Linked DNA regions of Saccharomyces cerevisiae S288C. Changing the gene in region 1 together with any one later gene gives a genetic interaction. Each region holds a gene or a part of one and is shown on either strand. Other genes may lie near its edges.

Region 1 (9,372 bases):
AGACGGTTTGATTATTCTTGGTGGTTTTGAAGGTTTCAGGTCCTTGAAGCAATTGCGTGACGGTAGAACCCAACACCCAATCTTTAACATTCCAATGTGTTTGATTCCAGCCACTGTTTCTAACAACGTTCCAGGTACTGAATACTCACTTGGTGTTGATACCTGTTTGAACGCATTAGTCAATTACACTGATGACATCAAACAGAGTGCTTCTGCGACAAGAAGAAGAGTCTTCGTCTGTGAAGTCCAAGGTGGTCACTCTGGTTACATCGCTTCTTTCACTGGTTTAATCACTGGTGCTGTTTCAGTGTACACTCCAGAAAAGAAGATCGACTTAGCTTCTATCAGAGAAGATATAACTCTATTAAAAGAGAACTTTCGTCACGACAAAGGTGAAAACAGAAACGGTAAGCTATTGGTTAGAAACGAACAAGCTTCTAGCGTATATAGCACTCAATTGTTGGCTGACATCATCTCTGAAGCAAGCAAGGGTAAGTTTGGTGTTAGAACTGCTATCCCAGGCCATGTTCAACAAGGTGGTGTTCCATCTTCTAAAGACCGTGTCACCGCTTCCAGATTTGCTGTCAAATGTATCAAGTTTATCGAACAATGGAACAAGAAAAATGAAGCTTCTCCAAACACTGACGCTAAGGTTTTGAGATTCAAGTTCGATACTCACGGTGAAAAGGTACCAACTGTTGAGCACGAAGATGACTCTGCTGCTGTTATCTGTGTTAATGGTTCTCACGTTTCCTTCAAGCCAATTGCTAACCTTTGGGAAAACGAAACCAACGTTGAATTAAGAAAGGGTTTTGAAGTTCACTGGGCTGAATACAACAAGATTGGTGACATCCTGTCCGGTAGATTAAAGTTGAGAGCTGAGGTAGCCGCTTTAGCCGCTGAAAACAAATGAATGATTGCAATGAAAAGTTTAAGTTAAGCAAAAGGAGGTAAAAATGGCATGCACTTTAATTTTTATACAATCGTTTTTTTGTCATAAGACTTATTTATGTATCTGTTGTTTTTCTTTTTCTATCCTCTATTTTTGTCTATTTGTCTTTGTTTTACTCTTTTTCATTATTATTTCTTTATATAATTTTTGTACGATATGATACACATAACAATGAGCAATGAACATATTTCTAATCCTAACCATTAGATATACTTTTCAACTGAGGAATAATGGCGCCTTGATTAAACTAAGCTATGGAATTTGCATTATTCAAGTTTTAGGGTGTGCTTAATCTGCGTTGACAATGGTTCACGAAGACGACATCGGCAACTTTGCTGTACTACAAATTGCTCTGAATGTGAGGCTGATCCACATCATAGTGAGGCGCGCTACCTTAATTGTAGTCGTATTGTCATCGGTCTACGAATACCGTTTGGTTTATTTGTCGGCCTTTTTTCTTTCCGTTTCTTTTTATCTTTCCGCTGGAAAAATGGAAACTAGTGCCGATAATCGGAGATGGGATGACTAAATATTTCTTTAAGGCATTGGCAATGTTCAAACCTCTGATAGAACGGCAGATATATATTTAAGAGAATATAGTCAAGGTTGACGCCGCATACTTTGGTTTTGTTTCAAAAAGAAACAGGTGAAAAATTATAAAGACCAAACTAGAATACCATGCCCAGTGTCTGCCATACAAGCCCGATAGAAAAGATTATCCAACAAGGGCATCGCATACAGAATGATTCCTTAATACCGTCAAAACGCACCAAGCTGGCCCATACGGAATTAACAGCACACTATGCCACTGAAGACTCGCATGTGGAAAAACACTTTTTGCATAATGGTAGTAATTTTGACGGCATTGACAATGTAAGGTATCAAAATCAACCCTCTCCATTAACCTTCATTACTCCAAACAACACTGTAGATTCCAGTGATTGGGTTCCGCAGTTCTCGTCTATGAAGATTGACGATTCACTAGAGTTTAGCTCAGAATATAAAAGGTTGTATTCCAATTACGAGTCACAGCAGCGCCTGAATTCAAGCAGACAACACTTACCTTTTAAGAATTGTATGATAAGGAAGACAAGTTGCACTTACCCACCTCAAAAGACGCTTCGACAGCAACGCCAAGGAAACCGGGACAACCCAACGGATGCGTTTCAATTCGACGCGGAGTTCCAAGTTTTGGAGAGAGAAATTCAAAAAGAGCGGTACGAGCCCATAACACGTCGGGACGAGAAATGGTTCGACCAAGATCAGTCGGAACTGCAAAGGATTGCCACAGATATAGTAAAATGCTGTACTCCACCGCCTTCGTCTGCATCCTCCTCTTCTACTCTTTCCTCCTCTGTCGAATCAAAACTATCTGAGTCGAAGTTTATTCAGTTAATGAGAAACATTAGTAGCGGTGACGTGACTTTAAAGAAAAATGCAGATGGAAATTCCGCAAGCGAGTTATTCTCATCCAACAACGGGGAACTGGTCGGAAACAGGCACATTTTCGTCAAGGACGAAATTCACAAAGACATACTTGATTGATATAGGCAGTTTCTACAATTGTACCTCTTGTAACTACTACATACGTTGATATATGTTTACAGATAGCTAAGAATATCAAAATCATGAATATGTGCCCTTATGTGTTCTCTGCGCTGAGGAGTATCGCAGCTTCACTCCTGCAGATGCATGCCCTACCTACTGTCATGCCCATCTCTCTCGTTTAAAACTTACTACACCTTTTTTGTGCATGGATTGTGCTGATGTAAGCTGCACGAAATGACACGCTTGTGAATTTTTTCTTCTCTTGGGAGAAACTGTGAAGAAAAAAAAAAAAGCTTCGCAAAACCCGAATTAGTCTCGAAGGAAGTAATTACCTTGTGAAAGGGTCTTTTGGGATACTAATTTATTATGAAGTTTGGTTTTGGTGTTGCTTGCTCTTTTTTTTTTCAATTTTGAAATGCGTACACGTGAATTTTAGCATAGGTTGTAACAAAAAAAAAAAATGATTTGGATGAGGCAGGCAACCCCTTAAGTAGCTATGGTACCTTTCAAGCTGACAAATAAGGTACCTACGGACACGGGACCTTCTCTGATTTCAGCGCAAAGTGTACCCAGACCAATAGTTTTTATGGATAATCGAAACAATACGCGAATAGTAACACCTACGCTACCTCCAAACCAGCATAGAGGCATATCAGGCGCGTCGACTGCTCTTCCCTGGTCTCCAGAGAGTAAGAATACAGGGAAGTATATTTGGAATAGGGTCAAACTAAAAAACTCTCCGTTTCCCCGTTATCGACACTCTTCCTCATTTATTGTTACGAATGATAACAGGATTTTTGTGACCGGTGGACTTCACGATCAATCGGTATATGGGGATGTCTGGCAAATAGCCGCTAACGCGGATGGTACGAGCTTTACTTCCAAGAGAATCGATATTGATCAAAATACACCTCCCCCAAGAGTGGGACATGCCTCTACTATATGCGGTAATGCCTATGTTGTGTTTGGTGGCGACACACACAAGCTGAATAAGAACGGACTGTTGGATGATGATCTTTATCTTTTCAATATTAATTCTTATAAGTGGACCATACCACAACCTATCGGCCGTAGGCCGTTGGGCAGGTACGGCCATAAAATTTCTATAATTGCTAGCAACCCTATGCAAACTAAACTATATCTTTTTGGCGGACAAGTAGATGAAACTTATTTTAACGATCTGGTCGTCTTTGATTTATCATCATTCCGTAGGCCGAATTCTCATTGGGAATTTTTAGAGCCTGTCGGCGACCTGCCTCCTCCTTTAACAAATCATACAATGGTGGCATATGACAACAAATTATGGGTATTCGGCGGGGAAACTCCCAAGACAATAAGCAATGATACATACCGCTACGATCCAGCACAAAGTGAGTGGTCTAAAGTTAAAACCACAGGAGAAAAGCCTCCGCCAATACAAGAGCATGCTAGTGTGGTGTATAAACATTTAATGTGTGTGTTAGGCGGTAAGGATACCCATAACGCATATTCCAACGATGTCTATTTTTTAAACTTATTATCGCTAAAATGGTATAAGCTTCCCCGTATGAAGGAGGGCATACCTCAAGAACGCTCTGGACATTCTTTAACCTTAATGAAGAATGAGAAGCTTCTTATCATGGGTGGCGACAAAACTGACTATGCCAGCCCAAATATTCACGATCTACAAACTTCAGAAACTGACCAAGGCGAAGGAACTTTACTGTATACCTTAGATTTATCATCTTTGAATGAGCTATGCCCAGGAATAATGTGTGAATCACTACATGCAGGAGAAAGTTTTTCTAATAGTCTTTCCGGGGGCTTTACACCCTCTAAGTCTACCGAAAGTGAAAATCAAGAGATAATAAACATTCTTACACCAAGATTGCCTGATAGCAAAGTTTTGAGTTATAATGATATTGATGAAGGGGCTGGAAGTTACTCCAGCGCTTTGGATGATAAGGCATTTGAACGAAAATCAGATAGGGAGGAAAAGAAACCCCAATCTTCCAAAGTTGATTCAAGCATCAATAAGGAAAGTCCGGGAACTGGTATCAAAGTATCTAAAAAAAATTTCCCTGTTCTACGAGGACTAACAGTGGATTCAGAAGAGTATGGCTCTTCTTCATATAAGGACACATCATGTCAAAAAGGAATTCCCAAAAATCTTTTTGATGATTTAAACCTGAACCTACAAACATTACGTCTCGAAGCTCAACAAAAGGAACTTGAAACTGCTAGACATATTTCACAATTAGAAAAGGAAGTCCAGAGACTCATGGTAATAAAAGAAGCTTCAAAAGATTCAAATTTTCAAACAGCACGGCTTAAAAATCTAGAAATTCAGAAAACCTTTTTAGAATCTAGAATTAATGATTTAAAAAATTTATTGATGGTCAAATTATCTCAGGCAAGTAAACTCTGTGACCAAATTACGATTCAAAATAATGGACTTAAAACATGCTCCGAACATGTCACTATTAAAAGGGATATCATCGATCTTGAGAATAAATGTGATGTTTTGAAGCGCCAGAACGAAATACTTGTAAATAATATGCAAAAAATAACCCCCGAACTTCATACCTATTTGAACGAATCGTCCTGCTATCTGGGTAAATTATTAAAAAGCTATCCTACCAGTGCACGGCCACCTTCAAGTGAGAAAGATAATCAAATATATGAGAAAGATTCGCTGAACAAAATAGAAAAAGTAATAAATGAAATGCACGAAACCGTGCGTGCTAAAGAGAAATTGCACCTTGAAACTCAGAAGCTTAATGATGAAAGAGATTCTTTGCGGGCTAATTTACTCGACAATAACAACAAGTTGGATGCGCTAAGAAAACTCTCTGATGGAAGCTCGAAGTCTATGGACCTAACAAAGAAGGCTATTCACCTATCACAATCCGAGCTCGAAAAATATCGTAAAAACAACGACGATTTACAGAAGGAGATTGATAGAATTAAAACTGAACAAGCTGAACAGGATGACAAGCAGGAACAGCGTGGCGCCATCACTCATGGAAATTTTGATGCGTTCCACAGAATGAAAATCAACAATCTGAAAGCGGAACTGTATATGTCGAAAGAAAATAGAGATTCCCTCAAGGACGAACTGCTAGCTTTAAAAAAAAAACTATATACTCTCGAACAAAAAAAATAGTCATTGGAAGACGTTGTTACGCACTGGGAAGTCAATATGTACAAAGTATATAAAAATATATTTAAACACCTATAAGGACATTGTAAACATTAAGTATTAATAGAAGGAGAATATAATTGCCAACTAAGCCTTTTGAGGTTAATATTCAATGGTGCAAAATTAGTAGCCGCGGTTATTATTATTCGCCGGGTAAAGAGCCCGCTTTTCTAGGGGGATTTTAGGTGAGCATGCCTCTAGAAAGCCAGAAGGACCCTTAACGAAGCGAAACTGTTCAGAAGAATGAATAAAAAGACACATTGAAAAAAAGAATATTGTCGCACTGTACATAAGGGAGAAGCTGTAATCCCTGGCAAACTGCTAATATCTAATAAAAATAATAGAAGATGTCATCTGCAAAGACATTTACTAAGCATATCTCGTTTGATGATCTGGCACCTTCCTTAATTGATGACCAAGCTACCATTATTAAAAATGACAGTCACCATGTTGGCTTGAATAATCATTTTTTACATATACCTCCACAATTTAATCCTGTTTACAAAAATACTTTGACCGGTAGCCATGGCTCTAATGACCTTGCCACTGACGAAAGCTTGGACTCACCCGAAGACGAAGAAGCTTCTTCGCCACTACAACTAGGAACTCCAACGTCTACAACATCTGGAGTTCCTCACTTCTATACTCAGGTATTTTCTCCTGCAGCACATGATCCCTCCAAAAGCTATTTGAGATCGCCCAGCGTTGAAAGAAGTAGAAGTGAGTCTCCAATGTTCAGGTCAAGAAGAAGGACTTCAGTGAGGTTGCCTCCCCCTCCAAAAGTATCCGTGCTAAAAAAATCTCGAAAAGCTGCTGATGAACAGGGCCCTATTGATGATATTGATATTGGTGATTTGGATTTTGAGCTGGAAAGAAAAATGACCAAAATGACCGAAAGAAACACTCAAAAAAATTCTGGATCAAGGAAAGGCTATACGCAAGCTGCATTTGCCAATCTTAATGAAGTTGAAGATAGAATTGAGACCAAGTCAATGGTAGATTTATCCGAAAGCGAAAATATGGAGAGCTCAAAGAAAAGGTCCAAGTCGTTTGCCGGGATGACAGACGAAGAATTAGCCAAATTAGAGGAATTTTATATAAGTAAAGGAAGATCGAACAAGACTAAAATAGATCAATTTGATTTTGGTGAGCAAGTTCCAGTCTATTTGAACACAACAGAGTCAAAAACGGATTCAAGCAACGTGACGGACCCTTTAGCAGCAATTTATCCATCAAGGCCTACAATTGTTCACAATGCAATTTCAATGACAATTGATCATCCAGACTATGAAAATTATATTTCCAATACAAAAGAAAAGCTCAATTGCAAAGACAAAGATGACGATGTAGATTTAAGAGTTGTTTCGTGTTATATATCAGGTAGGAGATATACTTGGTCATCTGTGGACTGGTATGTTGAAAATTTGACAAGAAATGGTGATCATTTAGTCATAATTACTACAATTCCTGAGTTTGAAGCAAAGATTGATACTCTAGCATATAAGGAGAAAAGAAGGCACCGCTTAGAAAGGATGACTAGCAATACTAGTGAAAGCATGACTACCGCGTCACATAGCCTTATAGGCCCGGATCTCTCTAGTCCTTTATCAACGGGAATAAGAATAGAAGCTATTCATAATGAGGCTAAGCAAACTTGTAGCGATATTTTAAATTACTACGCGAGAAGATTGGCAACTAAAATAGTTAGGATTAGTATTGAGATGGTAAAAGAAAATTCAACAAGATCAGCCATAATATCTGCGACCTCTCTGTATAGGCCAAGTTTGCAAGTAATCAGCACCGTTAGTGCCAACATTCAAATCAAGTTTAGAAATGGAAAAGTGAAACTACCATTTTTTTTAATGAAACACTTTGCAATGCCAGCATTTGTTGTCCCATTCGAATTCATCAAGCCTGAGCTTTTAATAAAACCTAGAGTGGATAAAGATGAACAGGACAACAGCGATGATTTGAAAACGGAAGTGAGAAAAAAGGAACGATTGCAATGGCTAAGTGCATTAATCAGGAGAACTTTGGAAAACCCTTTCACAAAACATAAAGTGGTTGATTCGGATGATGAAGAAAGCGATAGTGATGAGTCAGTAACCTCTGTAAATGAGTACTTCCCAATCTCACCTGAAAAAAAGGAAGAAATGGAATTCTTCGATAAGATGGGATATGTTAGACCAAAACCGTCGAGACAAGTACTATTGGATGATAACACTCTTATGAAGTACGACAGTTCTGGCCGAAAGCTAACTCCTATAGAATCGAGAAATTCGAGGCGCAGCTCAAAGCGGAGTTCAAGAATACAATTCAACAATAACGGCATTTATAAAGTAAAGTCCATGGTTGATGACATTTACAACCACGAAACTGCCTCTACGCCTCATATCAAGACAGCACTAAAATGGGACAATGAGGATCCGAAAATGAAGTTCACTTCACATCCAATGAGAAAAACAAAATCCGCAGGGCTATCACCCAGAACATCCTCCACTTCATCTTCTTCAGGACAGAGAAAAGCGCATCACCACCACCATCACCACAACCACGTTTCAAGGACGAAAACTACCGAAAGCACCAAATCAGGCAACAGCAAAAAGGACAGTTCCTCATCCTCAACAAACGACCATCAATTTAAAAGGTCTGAAAAGAAGAAAAAAAGTAAATTTGGCTCGATCTTCAAAAAAGTTTTCGGATGAACCGGATTAATACAAGTAAAATCAGCAAAGATATAGAAGACAAAATAAGCGTGAAAACAATCATAAACCACTCACAACGGGGGTTTTCAGCTGTTACTCCTCCATACATACATTTTGATAAAGATATAATGTTATATTTCTTTTCGTAATTTTGTTTTACTTCGGTTTGCTCTATAGATTTCATCAGCCGCACCGAAAAGGGAGATCAATAAGGTACCCTTTAAAAGGGATAAGAAGCCTACATCACCCCAATAAATGGAGTAATGGCCAGCATTGGATGAAGAGAAGAATTACGGGATACTGGGATAACACTGTTAAAAATGCTTCGCGACGTGAGGGTCTTCTTCATATAAATTGAACTGCCAAATCTCTTTCACATTATCCAGGATAGTTTGGAATGTGTGTTACTGAAGGATCAGAATCAATAAATACAATCAATACAAATATTTAGCGCATAAAATTCAAACAAAGTTTACTGAAATGAAGTTAGATTCAGGAATATACTCAGAGGCACAAAGAGTTGTGAGAACTCCAAAGTTTAGATATATTATGTTAGGGCTGGTGGGCGCTGCTGTGGTACCGACCGCATACATGAGGAGAGGCTATACGGTTCCTGCACATAGCTTAGACAACATCAACGGCGTAGACACAACTAAGGCGTCTGTTATGGGTACAGAACAGAGAGCAGCTATGACGAAGGGTAAGAGTTTACAAGAGATGATGGATGATGATGAAGTAACGTATTTGATGTTCTCTTCAATCATGTAAGGGAATTTGTACTTGGTTCCCTGCATTTATGTTCTTTGCATTTTGTTTTCGCATTTAATCATAGTACGACAAACGGGGAAGGGGATTGTGATTTTACATAAGGCCCCTCCCATCATTGAGAAGGTTATTAATCAATACATATATAAGCATTTTCTTTTATACATTAATTGAACTGATATTTATTTTATGACGCAATAAAGCCTCTAATGCACTGCTAT
Region 2 (4,403 bases), on another chromosome or scaffold:
TCATTGGGAAGGTAAAATGCATCTTGCGTCTGACTCAATATCCATAAAATCTATTTTCACGCATTTTGCCTGCTTCAAAGAAATCTATCGCAAATATTCCTACTAATCATGTCTATAGCAAGTTATGCCCAAGAGTTGAAGTTGGCTTTACATCAATATCCAAACTTCCCTAGTGAAGGCATTCTCTTCGAAGATTTCTTACCCATTTTCAGGAACCCAGGTCTTTTCCAGAAGTTGATCGATGCTTTCAAACTGCATTTAGAAGAAGCTTTTCCAGAAGTTAAAATTGATTATATCGTCGGGTTGGAATCCCGTGGGTTCTTGTTCGGACCAACTTTAGCTTTGGCCCTAGGTGTTGGTTTCGTTCCAGTCAGGAAGGCAGGTAAGCTACCTGGCGAATGTTTTAAGGCTACGTACGAAAAGGAGTACGGTTCTGATCTTTTTGAGATACAGAAAAACGCTATTCCAGCAGGTTCCAACGTTATCATTGTTGATGACATTATTGCCACTGGTGGTTCTGCTGCTGCAGCCGGCGAATTAGTTGAACAACTCGAAGCCAACCTTTTGGAATATAACTTTGTTATGGAGTTGGATTTCTTGAAAGGCAGGAGTAAGTTGAATGCTCCAGTGTTCACTTTACTGAACGCTCAAAAGGAAGCGTTGAAAAAATGATATGTTTCACGTCCTGACCCATATTCAAGCTTCCTTTCTGCCGGTTTCAAGCAATTTATTTTTCTTACTTCTCCTTACTCTCTCAATTTGGTTGTATAATATTTACTTTTTAGATTGAAAAATATTCAATCCACTTTTCTGCTTTGTGCCACAAAGTAGTCTATTTAGTTTTTTATCTATTATATGCTTTTAAAGAGTTTGGAAATCGAGACCTGCATATGCAATAGTAATATTCAAGGGTCCTTTGATTCTGACTCTAAGCGAGCATTTGCCTCCTGAACTTCTCTTAATGACGTTCCAGGAACAACACTCCAGTCTATCATTTTCTCTCCGCGGGTATTGTATAGCCAATCGTTTATCATTTTGAAATGGTTGGTACCAAAAAATCCTCTACTTGCACTTAATGGAGACGGATGCACTGACTTCATCACCATGATATTAGGGTACTTACTACCGCTTCCAACGGAAGTAGATCCCAACAGAGACTCTACTAATTTGATAGCATTGTTCCCCCATAAGAGGAATACTAAACTCTTACCGTCGGCCTCTCTGTCCTGGATCAACAACTGAACTACCCTTTTTGTAAAAGTTTCCCAACCATGCTTAGAATGCGAGTTTGCATTATGTGCTCTTACAGTTAACGAGGTATTAAGCAATAAAACCCCTTGTGAAGCCCAGTGAGTTAAATCTCCCACTTTATTATCTTCAACAAAATCAGGATACTCTTGCTTCAGTTCCTTATATATGTTCTTTAATGACGGTGGTGCTGGTGTAGGGGGTTTGACGCTAAAAGCCAAGCCATGCGCCTGATTAAAGTTGTGGTAGGGATCTTGACCGATAATCACGACTTTAACTTTATTAAAAGGCGTTAGCCTGGTCCATGAGTAAATATCCTTTGCAGGCGGAAATACTGTATGATCAGCTTGCTCTTTAGTGACAAACTGTTTCAACTTTACAAAATATGGCTTTTTAAATTCATCCATTAAATGTGGAAACCACGAATCATCAATCGTTTCTAGCTCCAGCGACAGTAGTGTACGTAAATTGCTGCTCAAGTTCTTCGAATATACATCTTTTGCATTTGAATTAGCAGGATATTTGTCCGTGTTTGCCTCCTTTGCGACCGCCTTTGTCTCTGTCTTGATAGCTGCGCCATTTGTTATGGTCATGAAAGTAGCGCCCGATTTACCTTTCTTATTGGGCGCCTCATTAGTGCTTTTCTTTGTACCAAAGAAGTCTTCGATCGTAGTTTGCTTTCTCTTTCGAGCCACCGTCATAACTGAATTTGTTGGCAATCTTCTCATGCACCACATGTATGTGAACGGCTTGTGTACAGCTTCTGATAATATATATCATTATGGATGAATTACGCGTTGCGGACACATTCCAGGTTTTGACAATAGGGAAAATATTGAGTTTATATGTAAAGCTTTTTACAAGTCACTAATGTGAACAACGTGAGGTAATTCCATGGAAAGTTCATATAAGAATAGTTCGAAAACTATCTTTTTTATTCCCACCAGTCACTAGATTCGGCTTTATACATATAGTGGGCTTATCACTGCTCTTGGATAGCACTTTTGCACTACAAATAGACACCATTACGAAGAATTGGAAGAGACTTATATACAGAGTACCAGTAGGTAGAATGGTCACGACTCCATTGCATTCCTCGCCGAAAAGCAGTCTGAAATCTTCAACGACCTCACTGCGCTCAGTACATACTCAGTCTGGTCGTATGGGGCCTAGTGAGCCTAAGCACAGAACAACCAAATCCTGGTCTATATGGGGAGGTAATGACGAGGAAGAACCGGAGTTATCTAATAAAAATAAAGGAAAGGAAACCGCCCAAGACAACAGTCAAGAAAATGACAATGTTTCAAATGAGGGAACACGCTTGCACGATAATCAACAAACAACGATTTTAAAGGAAACCACCAGGATCGAGAAGGGTGAGAAGGACAAAAAAGACAGAAATGCAGCTATAGTAGAAAAAAACACAAGACCACGAGCATGGCCATTCTTTTGGGGCCGTAACAAAAAAGATCCGGAGCCGACGCATAACATTCCCACTGATGCGGATAATAACACTTTATCACGTTTAGCAAATAGTCTAAATCCGGCTCCTCTAACCAACACTTACATACCTTATAAACCTGATGCTATATTGATCAGAGATAAAGGTGTCAAAACTGCTAAGAAATTAACAGATGACATAGGCAATCAGTTTCCTAACATTGTTGTACCAAGTTTCGATATTTTACCGAAACAAACCATATGGAATACAGTCACATCCACAATTTGGAAGTGGAAGACTGAATACTGGGATAGAAGACCTTCATCAAGGGTACGAGAGGGGGAAGAACAGGTGCAGCACTCACAAAATCAGTTAAAAGAGGAAACAAACACAGTTGCAAACGAGGCAAAAGATGAGGAGCGGTTGGAACACAACAGAGGATCTCTATTTAGGGTTGATCCATGGAAAAAAATAAACCTTCTATCAGATTACCAATCTAGGCCCATCAGAGTTCTCATTGTCGGCGTTCATGGGTTCTTTCCAACAAAAATTATTAGACCGTTTATTGGTGAGCCAACGGGTACATCTACCAAGTTTGTCACAGAAGCTGAGGAAATAGTGAAGGAATATTTTGATCAACATAAAGTACCCATTGAAATAAGCAAGATCGCTCTTGAAAGAGAAGGAGAGATATTTGATAGAGTAGATTTCTTCTACGAAGTTATGAAGCATTGGAGCAAAGAAATAAACAATTCTGATTTTATTTATTTTGTTAGCCATTCGCAGGGGTGTCCGGTAACCATTATGCTTTTAGCGAAGCTGATCAAAAACGGCATAATAAACCTTGATAATTCTCAATTTTTCAACGATGAAATTCAGTTTTGTTCGTCCAAAAAAATTATCTCGGTCTTGGCCATGGCAGGTATCAATAATGGTCCATTCTACGGTGCAGATCAAACTTTGTTTGTTCGTGCTTACCAGACGATTGAAAAAGACTCATTGAGGGAGTTATTCGAGTTTCAAAAGTTTGATTCCAAACAATCGCAAAGCTTCATAGAAGGCCTAAGAACAATCATATCAAATAACGTTAAGATTACATTTGTGGGATCCATCAATGATCAACTGGTCCCTCTGTATTCATCCACATGTCTTTTTGCCAACCATCCCAATATATTTCGGGCCATTTTTATTGATAGAGGATCACAAACTCCAGCATTTATCACTCGCATAGTTAAAATTGCTGGTTCACTCTTAAACCTGGGTTATAACGATCACGGAATCATAAAGGAAATAAGCGGATCTCTGGCGGGCACCCTGACAGGAGGTGGTCACTCTACCATTTATAATGAGAAACAGGTCTACCATCTGGGCATCAAATTTGCATTAGAAACAACCGATTTGTCCGAAATGTATCCAATTGAGTACTCACCATATAAATTGTCTGAGTTAGGAGCCAACCCCTATCGTCTGCCATGGTGTATGAGGGGATTGATGTACGAGTCCAACAAGCATTTCAGTAATGAAGAAATCAAGATGTTGTTTAAGGAATTTGAGGAATGGGAGCCTGAGACAAAGCAATTGAAGGACATAAAAAACAGGCTTAATGGTTTGAAATATCGACTCTGATAAAAAATACATCCAGCATGATACCAGCTTGCTTCCGCAAACGAAACATAACTTAAGGTACCGCAATTCAAAAAGGCATTCATACGTA
Region 3 (7,652 bases), on another chromosome or scaffold:
AGCTGTTGCTCACATTGCTAACCAATCTAACTTGTCTCCATCTGTTGAACCATACATCGTCCAATTGGTTCCAGCTATCTGTACCAACGCAGGTAACAAGGACAAAGAAATTCAATCTGTTGCTTCCGAAACTTTGATTTCCATCGTTAACGCTGTTAACCCAGTTGCCATCAAAGCTTTGTTGCCACATTTGACTAACGCTATTGTCGAAACTAACAAATGGCAAGAAAAGATTGCTATTTTGGCAGCTATCTCTGCTATGGTCGATGCTGCTAAGGATCAAGTTGCCCTAAGAATGCCAGAATTGATTCCAGTCTTGTCTGAAACCATGTGGGACACCAAGAAGGAAGTCAAGGCTGCTGCTACTGCCGCCATGACCAAGGCTACCGAAACTGTTGACAACAAGGATATTGAACGTTTCATTCCAAGTTTGATTCAATGTATTGCTGACCCAACTGAAGTTCCAGAAACCGTTCATTTGTTAGGTGCTACTACTTTCGTTGCTGAAGTTACTCCAGCTACTTTGTCCATCATGGTCCCATTGTTGTCCAGAGGTTTGAACGAAAGAGAAACCGGTATCAAGCGTAAGTCTGCTGTTATTATTGACAACATGTGTAAGTTGGTCGAAGACCCACAAGTTATTGCTCCTTTCTTGGGTAAATTGTTGCCAGGTTTGAAGAGTAACTTTGCTACCATTGCTGACCCAGAAGCCAGAGAAGTTACTTTGAGAGCTTTGAAGACTTTGAGAAGAGTTGGTAACGTTGGTGAAGACGATGCTATTCCAGAAGTTTCTCACGCTGGTGACGTTTCTACTACTTTGCAAGTCGTTAACGAATTGTTGAAGGACGAAACCGTTGCTCCAAGATTTAAGATTGTCGTCGAGTACATTGCCGCCATTGGTGCTGATTTGATCGATGAAAGAATCATTGACCAACAAGCTTGGTTCACCCACATCACCCCATACATGACTATCTTCTTGCACGAAAAGAAGGCCAAGGACATCTTGGACGAATTCAGAAAGAGAGCTGTCGACAACATTCCAGTTGGTCCAAACTTCGACGACGAAGAAGACGAAGGTGAAGACTTATGTAACTGTGAATTCTCTTTGGCTTATGGTGCTAAAATCTTGTTGAACAAGACCCAATTAAGATTGAAGAGAGCCAGAAGATATGGTATCTGTGGTCCAAACGGTTGTGGTAAGTCCACTTTAATGAGAGCTATTGCCAACGGTCAAGTTGATGGTTTCCCAACCCAAGAAGAATGTAGAACCGTCTACGTCGAACACGACATTGATGGTACTCACTCTGACACTTCCGTCTTGGATTTCGTTTTCGAATCTGGTGTTGGTACTAAAGAAGCTATCAAGGACAAATTGATTGAATTCGGTTTCACCGATGAAATGATTGCTATGCCAATCTCTGCTTTGTCTGGTGGTTGGAAGATGAAGTTGGCTCTAGCTAGAGCTGTGTTGAGAAATGCTGATATCTTGTTGTTAGATGAACCAACTAACCATTTGGATACCGTCAACGTTGCTTGGTTAGTTAACTACTTGAACACCTGTGGTATCACTTCTATCACTATTTCTCACGACTCCGTTTTCTTAGATAACGTCTGTGAATATATTATTAACTACGAAGGTTTGAAGTTGAGAAAGTACAAGGGTAACTTTACCGAATTCGTTAAGAAGTGTCCAGCTGCTAAGGCTTACGAAGAATTATCCAACACTGATTTGGAATTCAAGTTCCCAGAACCAGGTTACTTGGAAGGTGTTAAGACTAAGCAAAAGGCTATTGTCAAGGTTACCAACATGGAATTCCAATATCCAGGTACCTCTAAGCCACAAATCACTGACATTAACTTCCAATGTTCTTTGTCTTCCAGAATTGCTGTCATTGGTCCAAATGGTGCTGGTAAGTCTACTTTGATTAACGTCTTGACTGGTGAACTATTACCAACCTCTGGTGAAGTCTACACCCACGAAAATTGTCGTATCGCTTACATTAAGCAACACGCTTTTGCTCATATCGAATCTCATTTGGACAAGACTCCATCTGAATATATCCAATGGAGATTCCAAACCGGTGAAGATAGAGAAACCATGGACAGAGCTAACAGACAAATCAACGAAAACGATGCTGAAGCTATGAACAAGATCTTCAAGATTGAAGGTACCCCTAGAAGAATTGCCGGTATCCACTCCAGAAGAAAGTTCAAGAACACTTACGAATATGAATGTTCTTTCTTATTGGGTGAAAACATTGGTATGAAATCTGAAAGATGGGTTCCAATGATGTCCGTCGACAACGCTTGGATTCCAAGAGGTGAATTGGTTGAATCTCACTCTAAGATGGTTGCTGAAGTTGATATGAAGGAAGCTTTGGCTTCTGGTCAATTCCGTCCATTAACCAGAAAAGAAATTGAAGAACATTGTTCCATGTTGGGTTTGGACCCAGAAATTGTTTCTCACTCCAGAATTAGAGGTTTGTCTGGTGGTCAAAAGGTTAAGTTGGTCTTAGCTGCCGGTACATGGCAAAGACCTCACTTGATTGTCTTAGATGAACCTACCAACTATCTGGACAGAGATTCTTTGGGTGCTTTGTCTAAGGCTTTGAAGGAATTTGAAGGTGGTGTTATTATCATTACTCACTCTGCTGAATTCACAAAGAACTTGACTGAAGAAGTCTGGGCCGTCAAGGACGGTAGAATGACTCCATCTGGTCACAACTGGGTTAGTGGTCAAGGTGCTGGTCCAAGAATCGAAAAGAAGGAAGACGAAGAAGATAAATTCGATGCTATGGGTAACAAGATTGCCGGTGGTAAGAAGAAGAAGAAGTTGTCTTCTGCGGAATTGAGAAAGAAGAAGAAGGAAAGAATGAAGAAGAAGAAGGAATTGGGTGATGCTTACGTTTCTTCTGACGAAGAATTCTAATCTTTTTGATCACTGCTTTCACAGTTTTCTTTAAGATTTTTATTGATCAATAATTTATGTATATTTTAATTTCTATGTTTTTGTAATATTGTTTATTTTGGTAAAATATAGACGCAACTTCCTTATTATAAAGAAAGGCATTATTTAAAAGAAAAAGCGTTCCATTAGTCAGACATCTTTTTTTTTCATACATTCTTAAGCTCAGGCAAATTGAGCATTGCCTCATACCCTTTTCGGTAAGAGGGTAACGAAAATATTTTTTTGGAAGAATAAAAATAGGTGACGGATCATAGACTAGGAAGCTTTAAAACATGATTGAGCGTAATATTATATTCCTTCTAGAAAAGATAAAAGAGCCAAGACCTAAAATTTTTTCATCCCTGTTCTATTAAAATTGTGGAAATGAGGTTTTTGAGGGGATTTGTATTTTCTTTGGCTTTCACTCTATATAAAGTAACTGCCACGGCAGAAATAGGATCTGAAATTAATGTGGAAAATGAGGCACCACCTGATGGTTTATCCTGGGAGGAGTGGCATATGGACCATGAGCATCAGCTAAAAGATTACACTCCAGAGACTTTCTTCGCGTTACATGATATCAAGAAGAAAGGATTTTTAGATGAAAACGATATTCTATCTCTCTACGGGTTGAACCGTGAAGAAATTGTGGGGGCTGGTGATGGTATGGGACAACACGATGAATCTGAGAAAATTGACAATGAAATGGCTAAGCGTGTTGTTAGCCTTATTATGAGGTTATTGGATGTTGATGATAATACCAAAATCACCAAGGAGGAATATCTACAATTTGCTAAGAGAGGAAACAAGTTCCCTGACCTTGGCGTTGGTGTAGGTCACCACTCCGATTTTGAGCTAGAATATGAAATTCATCACTGGAATAAGTTTCATAAGGACAAAGATCCAGACGTTAAAGTCGTTCACAAAGAAGACATAGAACATGAATTGCTTCATCATGAACATGAAATTGAACATGAAGAAGAAATTCAAAGAGGCGCTTCTAGAGCTACTGTAATAACTGATGACGAACTAGAGTCTAGAATAGAGCTGAAAAATATTCCCGAGAAATTCAAAAATGGAATTTTTTAATGGACTTGGTCAAGATGAATAGTTGAGACTGAGAAAATATTCAAGACACTATGTATGTAGTCAATTAGCATGTAGTAAGTAATCAAAGCACTTAAAATATATTTTTACCATCGCATCGTTGTGATGCCTCTCCTTTGTGATTAACTATCTACTTTAAACGTTCTATTTTCTATGTTCTAATTACGTATGTATTGGTCTTTTCTCTCCGATGGTAACAAGAAGCGTTTCGGGAAACAGTGGCACCTCCTTGTCCCTTAAATGTCGAACTTTAACAGTATAAGTACAAAGTGAAAAAAAAAAAAAAATGGAAATATCTATGATAGTGATATGATAGAAGAGCTATTTGAATGCTATGTTGTCATATTTAGCCTTACAAAAGGGAAAAGGCAAACACAGTCTTTTGTTATTACTATAGGAAAGATAGAATTGATATTAAAACAGTATGAAGTTATTGCATTTATATGAAGCGAGCTTGAAGAGAAGGCCCAAAACTACGAATGCGATAATGACAGGTGCGCTATTTGGAATTGGTGATGTTTCTGCTCAATTGTTGTTTCCAACATCCAAAGTAAACAAGGGTTATGATTATAAAAGGACAGCTAGGGCTGTCATCTATGGTTCTTTAATTTTCTCCTTTATAGGTGACAAGTGGTACAAGATCTTGAACAACAAGATTTATATGCGTAACAGACCTCAGTACCACTGGTCTAATATGGTTTTACGGGTAGCTGTCGATCAATTGGCGTTTGCGCCGCTAGGTTTGCCATTTTATTTCACCTGTATGTCCATCATGGAAGGTAGATCATTTGACGTAGCTAAGTTGAAAATAAAAGAGCAATGGTGGCCTACACTTTTGACTAATTGGGCAGTTTGGCCACTTTTCCAAGCGATTAACTTTTCTGTTGTTCCTTTACAACATAGGTTACTAGCTGTTAATGTCGTTGCAATATTTTGGAACACTTACTTATCTTATAAAAACTCAAAGGTTATGGAGAAAGACAAGGTACCTGTTCATTATCCACCCGTGGTCGAATAACTGGATAAGAAATCCTGATTTTGAAAATATTTGGAATTCAACTAGCATATTTATCAGACCTTGTTCCTTGGGGTACTGGAACAGCATATACCTAATAGACTTTCGGCAGAGAGCAGACCAACTTCATAAATATTTGAGTCACCAAAGTTGGCTAGCAATCTGCTTTTCCTTTACAGATGTGCTTGGTCAGGAACAATTTATTTAATTACATTCGTACTTCTTTTATAGAGGAAATAGTAGCTAACATTTCACTATTGCGGTCATGCCTGTTGTTCTTCAGCTACCGTTTATGCAAAGGTGTTTAATTAGGTGTGAGACTTAAGTGGGCCTTTTAGTACCACTGTGGGTTCTGGACCTTTATATAATATTTCATTTTTTCAAAGGTTTTTTCATATGCCGTTAAAAGAGGTCAAAACATAGACCCGAGGAACATATCTTGTAAATCGCTGCGTTATGTATGCATATTGTACTCCTACCTTCGTAACTGGAAAGAATCAGTCTGAAAGTTTATTGAGCCTGAAACGGAGCAAGATTATAGTTGAATGTTTCTTATTCGGTGTTGATAGTAGATGATGACCAAAGCTTTTTTTAACAAACTACCGTTTGAGGTATTCCGTCGGTACGTTAGGACAGGTAAAAGCATCCCTCAAAGAAGCCCCAGGACAAGAAAATCTCTTCTGGTGGGTGGGACTATTGCATCAGCAGTAGTTTTGTACAACTTTAATGACACTTTTCATGATTCTGTAAAGCACACGGCACTGACGACTAAAAGAATCGCTGTCGTCACACAAGCTACCACTCGTTGCTTCTACCATTACAAGAGGGCTCTAAATAAAAGCTATGAGAACAAAAAAGAACGAGAAGTTGCCTTAAATAAATGTCATAAGATGTGTGCCTTAATCACGTTGCATGCGCTACGATCGAATGGTGGGATATATATCAAATTAGGCCAGCACATTGGGGCCATGACCTACCTGTTGCCTAAAGAATGGACGGATACAATGATACCGTTGCAAGACCACTGTCCCGAATCCACCTACGAAGAAATTGATGAGTTATTTAAAGAAGATCTAGGCACCAGCATTGAGGATATGTTTTTAGAATTCAACAAAACCCCGATAGGTGTAGCTTCCTTGGCACAGGTTCATGTGGCAAAACTAAAAAATAGTGACGGTAAAGGTTCTAGTGTAGCTGTCAAATGTCAGCATCCATCGTTGAAGGAGTTTATACCATTAGATGTTATGCTGACAAGAACAGTGTTTGAACTGCTGGATGTCTTCTTCCCTGATTATCCGTTAACGTGGCTTGGTGATGAGCTTCAGTCTTCAATCTACGTGGAACTGAATTTTACCAAAGAAGCTGAAAATGCAGAAAAAACCCGTCATTATTTTAGTAAGTTCAAGAAGCAAACAGCATTGAAAATACCCAAGGTCATTGAAAGCCACAAAAGAATTTTGATTATGGAATATGTTGGAGGCAAAAGGTTGGATGATTTGGAGTACATTGACAGTCACGGTATCTCGCGCAGTGAAGTTTCGAGTTGTCTCTCTCATATTTTCAATAACATGATTTTTACTCCCAATGTAGGTATTCATTGTGATCCTCATGGAGGAAATCTGGCCATACGATCTGTTAAGCCCGCTAAAGATAATGGATACCATAACTTTGAAATTGTTTTATTTGACCACGGACTCTATAGATATCCTAGCACGAGAACAAGAAGACTTTATGCCAAATTTTGGTTGTCGCTCCTATTCGACAAGGACCAGACAAAAATGAAGAAGTATGCCAAAGGATTCGCAAACATCACCGACGAACAGTTTCCCCTTTTAGCGGCTGCAATTACGGGCCGTAGCATTGATGCTGCTTTGAATTACGACATTTCAACGAGTCGAACACAAGAAGAAATGGACGTCATGGCAAATGGGATCTTGGAAGGAACGTTACTGAGCGACTTGATGAGCATTTTGTCTAGAATCCCTCGTGTAGTGCTTTTGATATTGAAGACTAACGACCTAACCAGACATCTTGATGAATGTCTACAGAATCCACTCGGGCCAGAGAGGACTTTCCTGATCATGACGCAATACTGCGCCAAGACGGTCTACGACGAAAAAGTGGAAAGAATTAATTCGGAGTATGCGAGGTGGTCTATTAAATGGATGTGGGAGAACTTGACAAACTGGATAGTCTATGAGAGGCGTATTAATCAATTGTATTTTTATGATTTTGTGTTGTGGTGGAAAAAATTTATTCCGAAGACTTGGTTGTCATCTTAAATCGTTAGCGTTCTTTCTACTTGTAAATATATACGTAAAATTATATATAACAATTTTATATGTGTCATTAAACGGAAGACGTTGTTGCTATCACAGTGGATTGTGTTATTTGGGTATTTGGAATATTACAGTGACTTCTTGCAGCGTTGTTAGTTTTTGCCATGTTCTGCAAGTACAAGGTTGAAGATGTGGTCGAGACTTTGATAGTATCCTTAAACAACTTCATTTTTTTATTTTGACTGGGTAACGACCTGGTGTTCCTTCTAGTCTCACCGCTAGTGGCTTCTTCTTTGCTGACTCT
Region 4 (8,077 bases), on another chromosome or scaffold:
CAAAATGTTAAAAATAGCACAGATTCTCCCTTGATGAACAAGCAAGATATTCAATGGTCCTTTTACCTGAAAAACATCAACGAACATGTACTAAGGACGGAAAAACTGGATTTTGTTACCACAAATTACGATATCTTAGAGAAGAAAATGCTTAAACTAAATGGTTCATTGTTAGATCCTCAACTGTTTGGTAAGCCTAGACATACTTTTTTATCCCAAGTAGCTAGGAGTGGGGGAGAGGTTACAGGTTTTCGAAATGATCCAACTATGACTGCTTATTCCAAAACAGAAGATACGTACTATTCGAAAAATATTATCGATTTGCAGCTCTTGGAAGATGATTATCGAATTGAAGGAGGTGACTTATCGGAGTTGCTTACTAACAGAAGCGGAGAAGGGTACAAATGCAATCAAAACAGCTCACCAATGAAAGACGATGATAAATCCGAATCTAACAATAAAGGAAGCTCTGTTTTTTCTGGCAAGATTAAAAAATTATTTCACCCTACCTCAGCAGCTGAAACGCTCTCTTCCTCTGATGAAAAAACCAAGTACTATAAACGAACCATTGTAATGACATCATTTGGAAGGTTTCTAGTATTTGCCAAGAGGAGGCAGCCAAATCCAGTTACAAATTTAAAGTATGAACTAGAATATGACATAAATTTGCGTCAACAGGGTACCAAAATAAAAGAACTAATCATTCCCTTGGAAATGGGAACTAATCATATAGTTGTGATTCAGACACCTTACAAGTCATTTCTTTTGAGCACTGATAAAAAAACCACGAGCAAATTGTTTACTGTTCTCAAAAAAATTCTTAATTCGAATACAAATAAAATAGAGAAAGAACTGTTGCAAAGAAACCAAAAGGTAATTGAAAGAAGAACATCATCATCCGGAAGAGCCATACCTAAAGATCTTCCAACTTCCAAGTCTCCTTCGCCAAAACCCAGGACGCATAGCCAATCTCCATCAATTTCAAAGCACAATTCGTTTTCTGAATCGATTAATAGCGCTAAGAGCAACAGATCAAGCAGAATTTTTGAAACCTTTATCAATGCCAAGGAACAAAATTCAAAAAAACACGCTGCTCCAGTACCGTTAACCAGTAAATTAGTTAACGGATTGCCAAAAAGACAAGTTACCGTGGGATTAGGTCTAAACACAGGAACAAATTTCAAAAACTCATCTGCAAAATCGAAGAGGTCGTAATTAGTAATTTTATCTAATGTTTTCATCAAGCTACTTAAATACTCTAAAAATAAATATATGAGGAATTTCAAGTACTCATATAAATATAATAATAATTCTCGATCAATCAAATGAAAGAGCGCCGTAAGGCAGAATCCCAGAATTCGAAAAGAATGAGACAATGCTCCTTTTGCTATTTATTGAATGCAGATAATACGCACTGTTTCTGTGTTGAAAGTGAAGCTGAAATGGAGGTCATGTACTCACGCATTTTCGTCTTCTTCACTATCAATTTCGTCATCGTCATCTTCTAGCTCTTCTATTTCGACAGTGAAACCTTGAGTTTCAAAGAATTCTTGAACTGATTCCAATTTAGCTGGATGACAGCTCACAAAGGCAACGCTTTTATTGGAATCAAACATGTTGACAAAATATTTCTGCATGGCATTTTTCAGATCTGTTTTGGTAACATTCTGCAACCTTTCCAAATACAATTCATTGAAGTTGTTCCCCCTTTGCAAACAGAATTCATCAACATATTTGGACAGGGCTGTTTCAAAGTATCCGCATTCGATAGTAGCCAGCCTGTTAATAATACTACTGATGGCACCTTGGATTAACTGCTCATCAAATTCCAAGGCACCTGATGCATAATCTTGAACAATCTGTTTTCCAACTTCATAACATTTAATAATATCAGCGCCGCGGTAAATATTGAATCCCCAAGAATTTATCTCACATAATTTTAACATGCTGGCACCATAGGCCAATCCGGCACCACGGATTCCCTTCCAAAATGGACCTTCAACACATTCTAGATATTCGGAAGCCAATGAGACAATAGCGTATTCGGGATCATGGTAGTCCAAGTTAAATGGGATAGACGTTATTAGATTCATATAAGCAGATTCTGAGGCGGGAGTAGTTATTATAAAGGCCTTTTCACCAGGTGTTCTGCAAATCGATGAAATGGTATCTAGGGCTCTTGGAACTGGTGGAATTTTTAACTTCTCAACTGGATGTGCAATGTTCAAGCACTTAATTAAGGGATTCCATGGTTCATAAACGTCATCGATCTTTGAGATGTCACCAAGAACCAAAATATGAAACTTGTTGAAATTTGCTCTCAGTTGCTTTCTCATTGTTTCTATTCTTGGCAAAATTTCTTTCTCAAAGTTGCCATTCTCAATTTCTGCAAAAATCTCTTGTAATTTTGCTTCAACAAATAATGGATCGGTGGATTTTTTCAGCGATCTTGCCGAATAGAGATTTCTGTTAGTTAAAGAACTTAACATAACATTACCATTTCTTTTCCATTCTACAATAGAATTCAAATAATTCTCCAGCAGAATACGAACACGATTTTCATCAAAAACCATGTCAAATAGGCAGTGCTTGATCCATTGAACAGAGTTAGAGTAACCCCCAGCTCTACATTGAATTTTAAAATTAATAAGGTCAGGACAAGAACCCTTCAAACCTTGGTTGATCTGTGCGTCAATAGTTTCTGATTTTAACTTGGCGACAACTTCCTCAAACGAGAGCATAGTTTCTACATTACTCTCCTCATCAAGGATTTTCATTGGCATGGAAAATAGCTCGTCAAACATATTAAAATATGGTAAAAGCGAGGTATCCTTAATAGATGCGGAGTTGACCAAAAAATGCAGCTCTATAAATTGAGACGGGAAATGATTTAAGTGAATGAAAAGAGGAAAATTGTCTGGCCTCGTTTCTAAAATTTTTTTGGTCAGCGGATCACTAACATTATTGTATTTATACGAATCGACAGTTGCAATGCTTTTCGTGTTGACAAATTCAACACTCTTTGAAGGATTATCAATCTCAAATTTCTGTAGTAGAGATTTCGGAATTGGCCTATCATTAATATTTTTTGCATTGTTCAATCTTTTCAATAAAACCAGTTTCTTTTCATCATCAAATTCAGCTTCTCTTTGTTTGATCAAATCCGATTTTTCTTTCTCTAGTTGTTCATACATCAAAGCGCTTGGTTTAGCGGTAACTATGATAGGTTTGTTGTCTACGAATATTCTGTTCAGCAAAGATTGCCAGTCCTTTTGGGACCATTGTAATAAAGCATCAAAATCACTTAAATCCTTGAGAGAAGACACTAATGAAGAACCATCTTCATTACCATAAATATAGTCGGTAATCACAGCACTAGAAAAACGACTCTCGCCATTTTTTTCATAGTTCAGCAAATATTCCCATTTAGTATTTTCAACTACCTGTCTAACTCTTGATAAATCAATGGTATGGGTTTTCAAAATCTCCAGTACCTTGGTCTTTGTTGCTGCTATTTTTTCTGTTGGGACACCTTGGATACGAAGATCAATTATGGTTCTCATGAAATAATCAGTGCAACAATCAGTGGAATTTGCCATGGGATCGTCAATTTCAACCAGTTCTCTTGTAAACACTGCCAATGCAGAGTCAGTAAAGTAATCTAATAGCACATCAACCGCTAGGTCATTACGAAAATCTGAGTAGGGAACACCAATCCAAGAAAAGAGTAATTCACCCTGACTTTCATCAAGTTCAGGAAATTCTACAGTAGATTCCGTAACTTTATCTCTAGATTGCGGTATGTGCGAAAGCTTGTTGTCCAAAAATGGTCTTTTCTTTGGTATATTCGATGGAATCTCCGGCAATTTGTTATCCCATTCTTCCATGACGGTTAACAGTTCATCTGTTGGTACGTTACCACAAACAATGACACAAAGATTATCAGAAGAATACAGAGATTTGTGAAATTGTCTGATTTCGTCGTTGGTTAAGGTTCTTAAATTTTTCGTTAGCCCACCAGTTTCTGACCGATAGCCACTTCCTTCAGGAAACATTAATCGCTGCTTTTCTAACCCTGAAATGTACCAGCCCTGAGTTTCAATGGCTTCCATTTCACTAAATACCACACCTTTATCACCCAAATTTTCCGGGTCGATGTGATAAACCTCAGTTAAACAAGCCTCGTCTGTTAAAGTTGGATGTAGGATGTGATCTAGATAAGCAGGTAGCAACTTTGAGAATCCCTTCCAGCCAGCACTGCTTAATGTATAAACAGTTTGGTCGGTATCAGTCCAAGCATTGGTGTTAGACAAAGACAGATTACCAGCTGTGTCTAATAAACCTTTGTATGGGTAAGATTTAGAACCCATGAAGATCAAATGCTCCAAGGTATGCGGAGCACCTGAATCATTAAGACATTCTGTAGGAACAGCAAAGTAACCGTGAACCAATGGGGAGGTTTTGTGGTTTATATGTACCAGTTGCAGTTTAGTTCGTTCCGAGATATATTTAGTTATATGGTATTGTGGGACATAATCCGGTTGGAATGATACGAGCTTCTTGAACCCCATTGTGAAGATTCGACGAACTGTGTTGAAAGTGCGTATAATTGGTCTTCGTGCCGTTTTTTGGGTCACTTTCAACTTTTCAGCGAGTAGTTTCTCTCACTATATCTTACGCTCTGTTAAAATCTTTTGCCACTACTTCAAAATTACGATCTATGGGATGAAAAATTTACATGAATTTACCAATACTCGGAAAAATGCAGGACAAGAAATAAGAACATTTGTATAATACAAGAGACGCATATACACATACCTACTCAGATAAGTTTAACGAGTTTCTCTTCCATAGGAGGGTCTAATCTCCTTCAGAAGTCTAACGTCTAAAAGTTCGTAAAGAATATCATCATAAAGTATGGTATACAAAATTTACTGTGCAACAACAGCACAATGCAGTCCATGATCTGCTCATCTGAGCACGAAAACCTAACCTGCAAGTACTGGCCTGTTAGCTTCCTCGCTTCTTGGTGTGAGAATGGGTCTGGCACACTGATGCAGAAAGATGGTAGTCTTTTATATGCCGTGAAAAATTTTTCCCATATATTTGAAAAAAAAATTTTTCATACCAATCTATAGAAATAGTGAGGTCAGGAGACATCGCAACACTATTGTTCTATTGCATTATTTTTTTAGTGTTAAACTACAATTTCGGATTCTATATCATTGTATATAATAGCGTCAGAATAAGCGTGACTACTTACTTCTTTTCTTGCTTAGTTTTTGGCTTAGGTGCGACAAGTCTTTCCTTTTCGCCCCAAACCAACTTATGTGGGACCATGAATTTGTCCAAGGTCTCTTCGTCCACCTGAGCTCTGCGTTCCTGGAACGCCTTAACGAATTCTTGCAGAGTCTCGATACACAGTTTCTTCATTTCACCTGATAGTAATTCACCGGACTTATATTTGTCATAGCATTCCTTCAAGAAAACATCGTCATCCTTGAAAAATGACAAGTATTGGTATGCAACATCGACATCGGGATTACCACCTAATTCTCTATGTAGGTCGGCGGACACTTGACCACCGCTGAATGCGTACTTGTTAATTTTCTTTTGAATTTGCTTTGGTGTATCGGTCATGAAAATGGCAGTGGTATCATCAGAGGCTGACATTTTGGTCGTGGAACCTTGCAAAGCTGGAAAGAATCTGGAATGAAGCAAAGCAGGTTTGGAGTACTTCAATTTATCCGCGACATCCCTACAAACTCTGAAATATGGATCTTGGTCAATTGCACATGGAATCAAACATGGTGTCTTATCAGGCAAGCCTAACACATTAGGAAATGAGCTTGGGAATGCGGTAGCAATTTGAATGGAGGCAAAATGGAACTTACCAATACAGTCGGAGTCATTAAACCCGAAAACAGCCTTTGCAGTGGATCCTGTAATTTGTCTGGAAACTCTTACTACAGTTTCGTAAAATGCACCACCCATGTATTGCAAATCAGAAAAGATAAAGGTGTTCTTTGGATCAAAGCCAACAGCAATGATATCCTTGGCATTTTCACGGGCAAAATTCTTAACGTCATTGATGGTCAACTTGTGTTTGAATAAAAATTTTTCGTCATCTGTCAACTCTATGACTAATGGTACGTCAAACACTTCCTGTAACCATTTGGTGAAGACAAAAGGGATCATATGACCCAAGTGCATAGAATCGCTCGAAGGACCTCTACCAGTGTATAGGAAAAATGGTTTGCCTTGTTCGTAAAGGTCTAATATTTTAGTGAAGTCACGCTCACTGAAAAACAATCCCTTACGCAAAAAATGATGTGGTTCACGACCCGTCACTTGCTTGAATCTCTTCAGGGTTTCTTCGTTGACCGGCTTAGTACCGAATTGTTTGATCAATTTGTCGTAATCAATATTTTGGGCTCTACCTTGTTCATCAACCCCACCTTCCACATCCCAAGGTGTAACTACTTGCTCTTTAACATCTGTGCTTTTTAGTTCCGACACTTGTTGGGTGACTTTCTCTACAGTTTCGTCGTTGCTCATCGTTGTTCTACGACTATTTTTTGTTATTGAGTTTTATTTCTGATACCTCAATGACTAAAAAAAATTTTTCAACGTTTTGATCTTTTTTCTCTCTTTTCCATTATAAGCGGAAAAGAGATACTGTATTGAATAAATTACTGGCGTCTTGAAAAGGATACATCATTTAATAAACGCAGGACCATGCCATTGCTTTTTGAACTCATGCTGTACGTGAAAAAGTGTATATATATATATTTATATAAGAAGATATTTACAGTCAGATACCTACTTTTCGTTTGATTTCAATTCAGTCTCTGAATAGCCATAAAATAATTACCGACATCGGAACAATCGTGCTCAACCCACCCTTGATATGGGAGGTACATGGTCCCCTTGAGATCCAACAAGCGAAATTGGCCACTGTAGTTGTCATTGAACCAGGCAAGGATTTCCTTTGAGTTTATGTATTTGCTCAAATGATGAGTACCCTTTGGGACGATCTTCAAGACGTTTTCACCCATAAAAATTGTAGTAAACCATGAGATGAGATCTCTGTTTATAGTACTTAAAAAGAGTATACCTTTTTCGGGATTTAACCTCGACCAACAATGCCTTAAAATTTCACTAGGCATATCCACGTGCTCTAGCATTTCCATACAGGTGATAATATCAAATTGTCCAGTAACATCCTCCAGAGCCTTGCACTCATAATTTATCTTTCCCTCCAGCATGGGGTCTTTCTTGGCATGCTCTTTTGCTACCATGATACAATCGCGAGTCAGATCGATCCCTTGAACATTCTTCACCCATTTTAGTCTCGCGAGCGATTCACTCAAAATGCCACCACCGCATCCAACATCCAAGACGCTCACTTCTGGCCTCTTATCTAGATTAGTCTCTATGCTTTCCTGCATTTCCCGCTGAATATTGTCGCAGACGTATTCTGGTAGAAACTCCTTGTAATTAAATCCAGGGACAAATATTTCAGGATTCTGAATTTTAACCTGGTTCCTCACAGTCCTCTGCACAAAATCTAACCTAGTTAGATTCATTTTGTGTAGAATTCTTTGTGATCCGTCTGTATCCCACCAAGTAGGGGCTAGCTCCTGGAAATGCTTCACTTCATCTTCAGAAGCATCTGTGCTCTTACATCTCGTTTGTGTTTGAATTGCAAATCTTGAACAGGCGCTCAATTGTTTCCTCACATGAATAACCTTCAAAAATCTAGATCTTAACAACATTATGAATCCCATAAGACTTCGCTGTACCTGTTTCCCTTTAATTGTTTTGTATGCCTTTTAGCATACTTTACCATCCCTCTTTTTGAACAATGGAAATGAAAAAAATAAAAATATCTGCTTCTAAAACTTGTATTATGTAAAAGGGTGATAATACATTATGAAAGGTAAGTAAAAAACTATTCTATATACGTCTGAAAACGCTCTTACAACCTCTTAGTGAAGAATATGCTCTATAAAATCCAAAATTTTTACGTAACTGATTGTATCGCTGCACATTATAACCATGTGTCACCTTAACG

The links.
Region 2: mutations in YGR237C (region 1) and UNG1 together harm fitness less than expected from each alone (positive genetic interaction), as found in Saccharomyces cerevisiae (one large-scale study listed by BioGRID).
Region 3: mutations in YGR237C (region 1) and SYM1 together harm fitness less than expected from each alone (positive genetic interaction), as found in Saccharomyces cerevisiae (one large-scale study listed by BioGRID).
Region 4: mutations in YGR237C (region 1) and WRS1 together harm fitness more than expected from each alone (negative genetic interaction), as found in Saccharomyces cerevisiae (one large-scale study listed by BioGRID).

The regions. Positions count from the first base shown.
Region 1 is NC_001139.9:962,312-971,683, reverse strand, and holds YGR237C (uncharacterized protein), read left to right. Parts: upstream 1-6,028; coding exon 6,029-8,386; downstream 8,387-9,372. Other genes in the region: PFK1 (6-phosphofructokinase subunit alpha), read left to right, coding at 1-913; PEX21 (Pex21p), read left to right, coding at 1,631-2,497; KEL2 (Kel2p), read left to right, coding at 2,997-5,645; SPG1 (Spg1p), read left to right, coding at 8,867-9,154.
Region 2 is NC_001145.3:228,829-233,231, forward strand, and holds UNG1 (uracil-DNA glycosylase), read right to left. Parts: upstream 1,986-4,403; coding exon 906-1,985; downstream 1-905. Other genes in the region: adenine phosphoribosyltransferase APT1, read left to right, coding at 109-672; YML020W (uncharacterized protein), read left to right, coding at 2,321-4,315. UniProt on the Saccharomyces cerevisiae protein: Excises uracil residues from the DNA which can arise as a result of misincorporation of dUMP residues by DNA polymerase or due to deamination of cytosine. Not involved in strand-directed mismatch repair.
Region 3 is NC_001144.5:636,986-644,637, forward strand, and holds SYM1 (ethanol metabolism protein), read left to right. Parts: upstream 1-4,478; coding exon 4,479-5,072; downstream 5,073-7,652. Other genes in the region: YEF3 (translation elongation factor EF-3), read left to right, coding at 1-2,929; nucleobindin SSP120, read left to right, coding at 3,332-4,036; CQD2 (Cqd2p), read left to right, coding at 5,642-7,351; NDL1 (Ndl1p), read right to left, coding at 7,419-7,652. UniProt on the Saccharomyces cerevisiae protein: May be involved in cellular response to stress. Required to maintain mitochondrial DNA (mtDNA) integrity and stability. Required for ethanol metabolism and tolerance during heat shock.
Region 4 is NC_001147.6:131,268-139,344, forward strand, and holds WRS1 (tryptophan--tRNA ligase WRS1), read right to left. Parts: upstream 6,559-8,077; coding exon 5,260-6,558; downstream 1-5,259. Other genes in the region: serine/threonine protein kinase PKH2, read left to right, coding at 1-1,215; SDD3 (Sdd3p), read right to left, coding at 1,458-4,571; YOL097W-A (uncharacterized protein), read left to right, coding at 4,953-5,138; COQ3 (hexaprenyldihydroxybenzoate methyltransferase), read right to left, coding at 6,840-7,778; HMI1 (ATP-dependent 3'-5' DNA helicase), read right to left, coding at 7,960-8,077.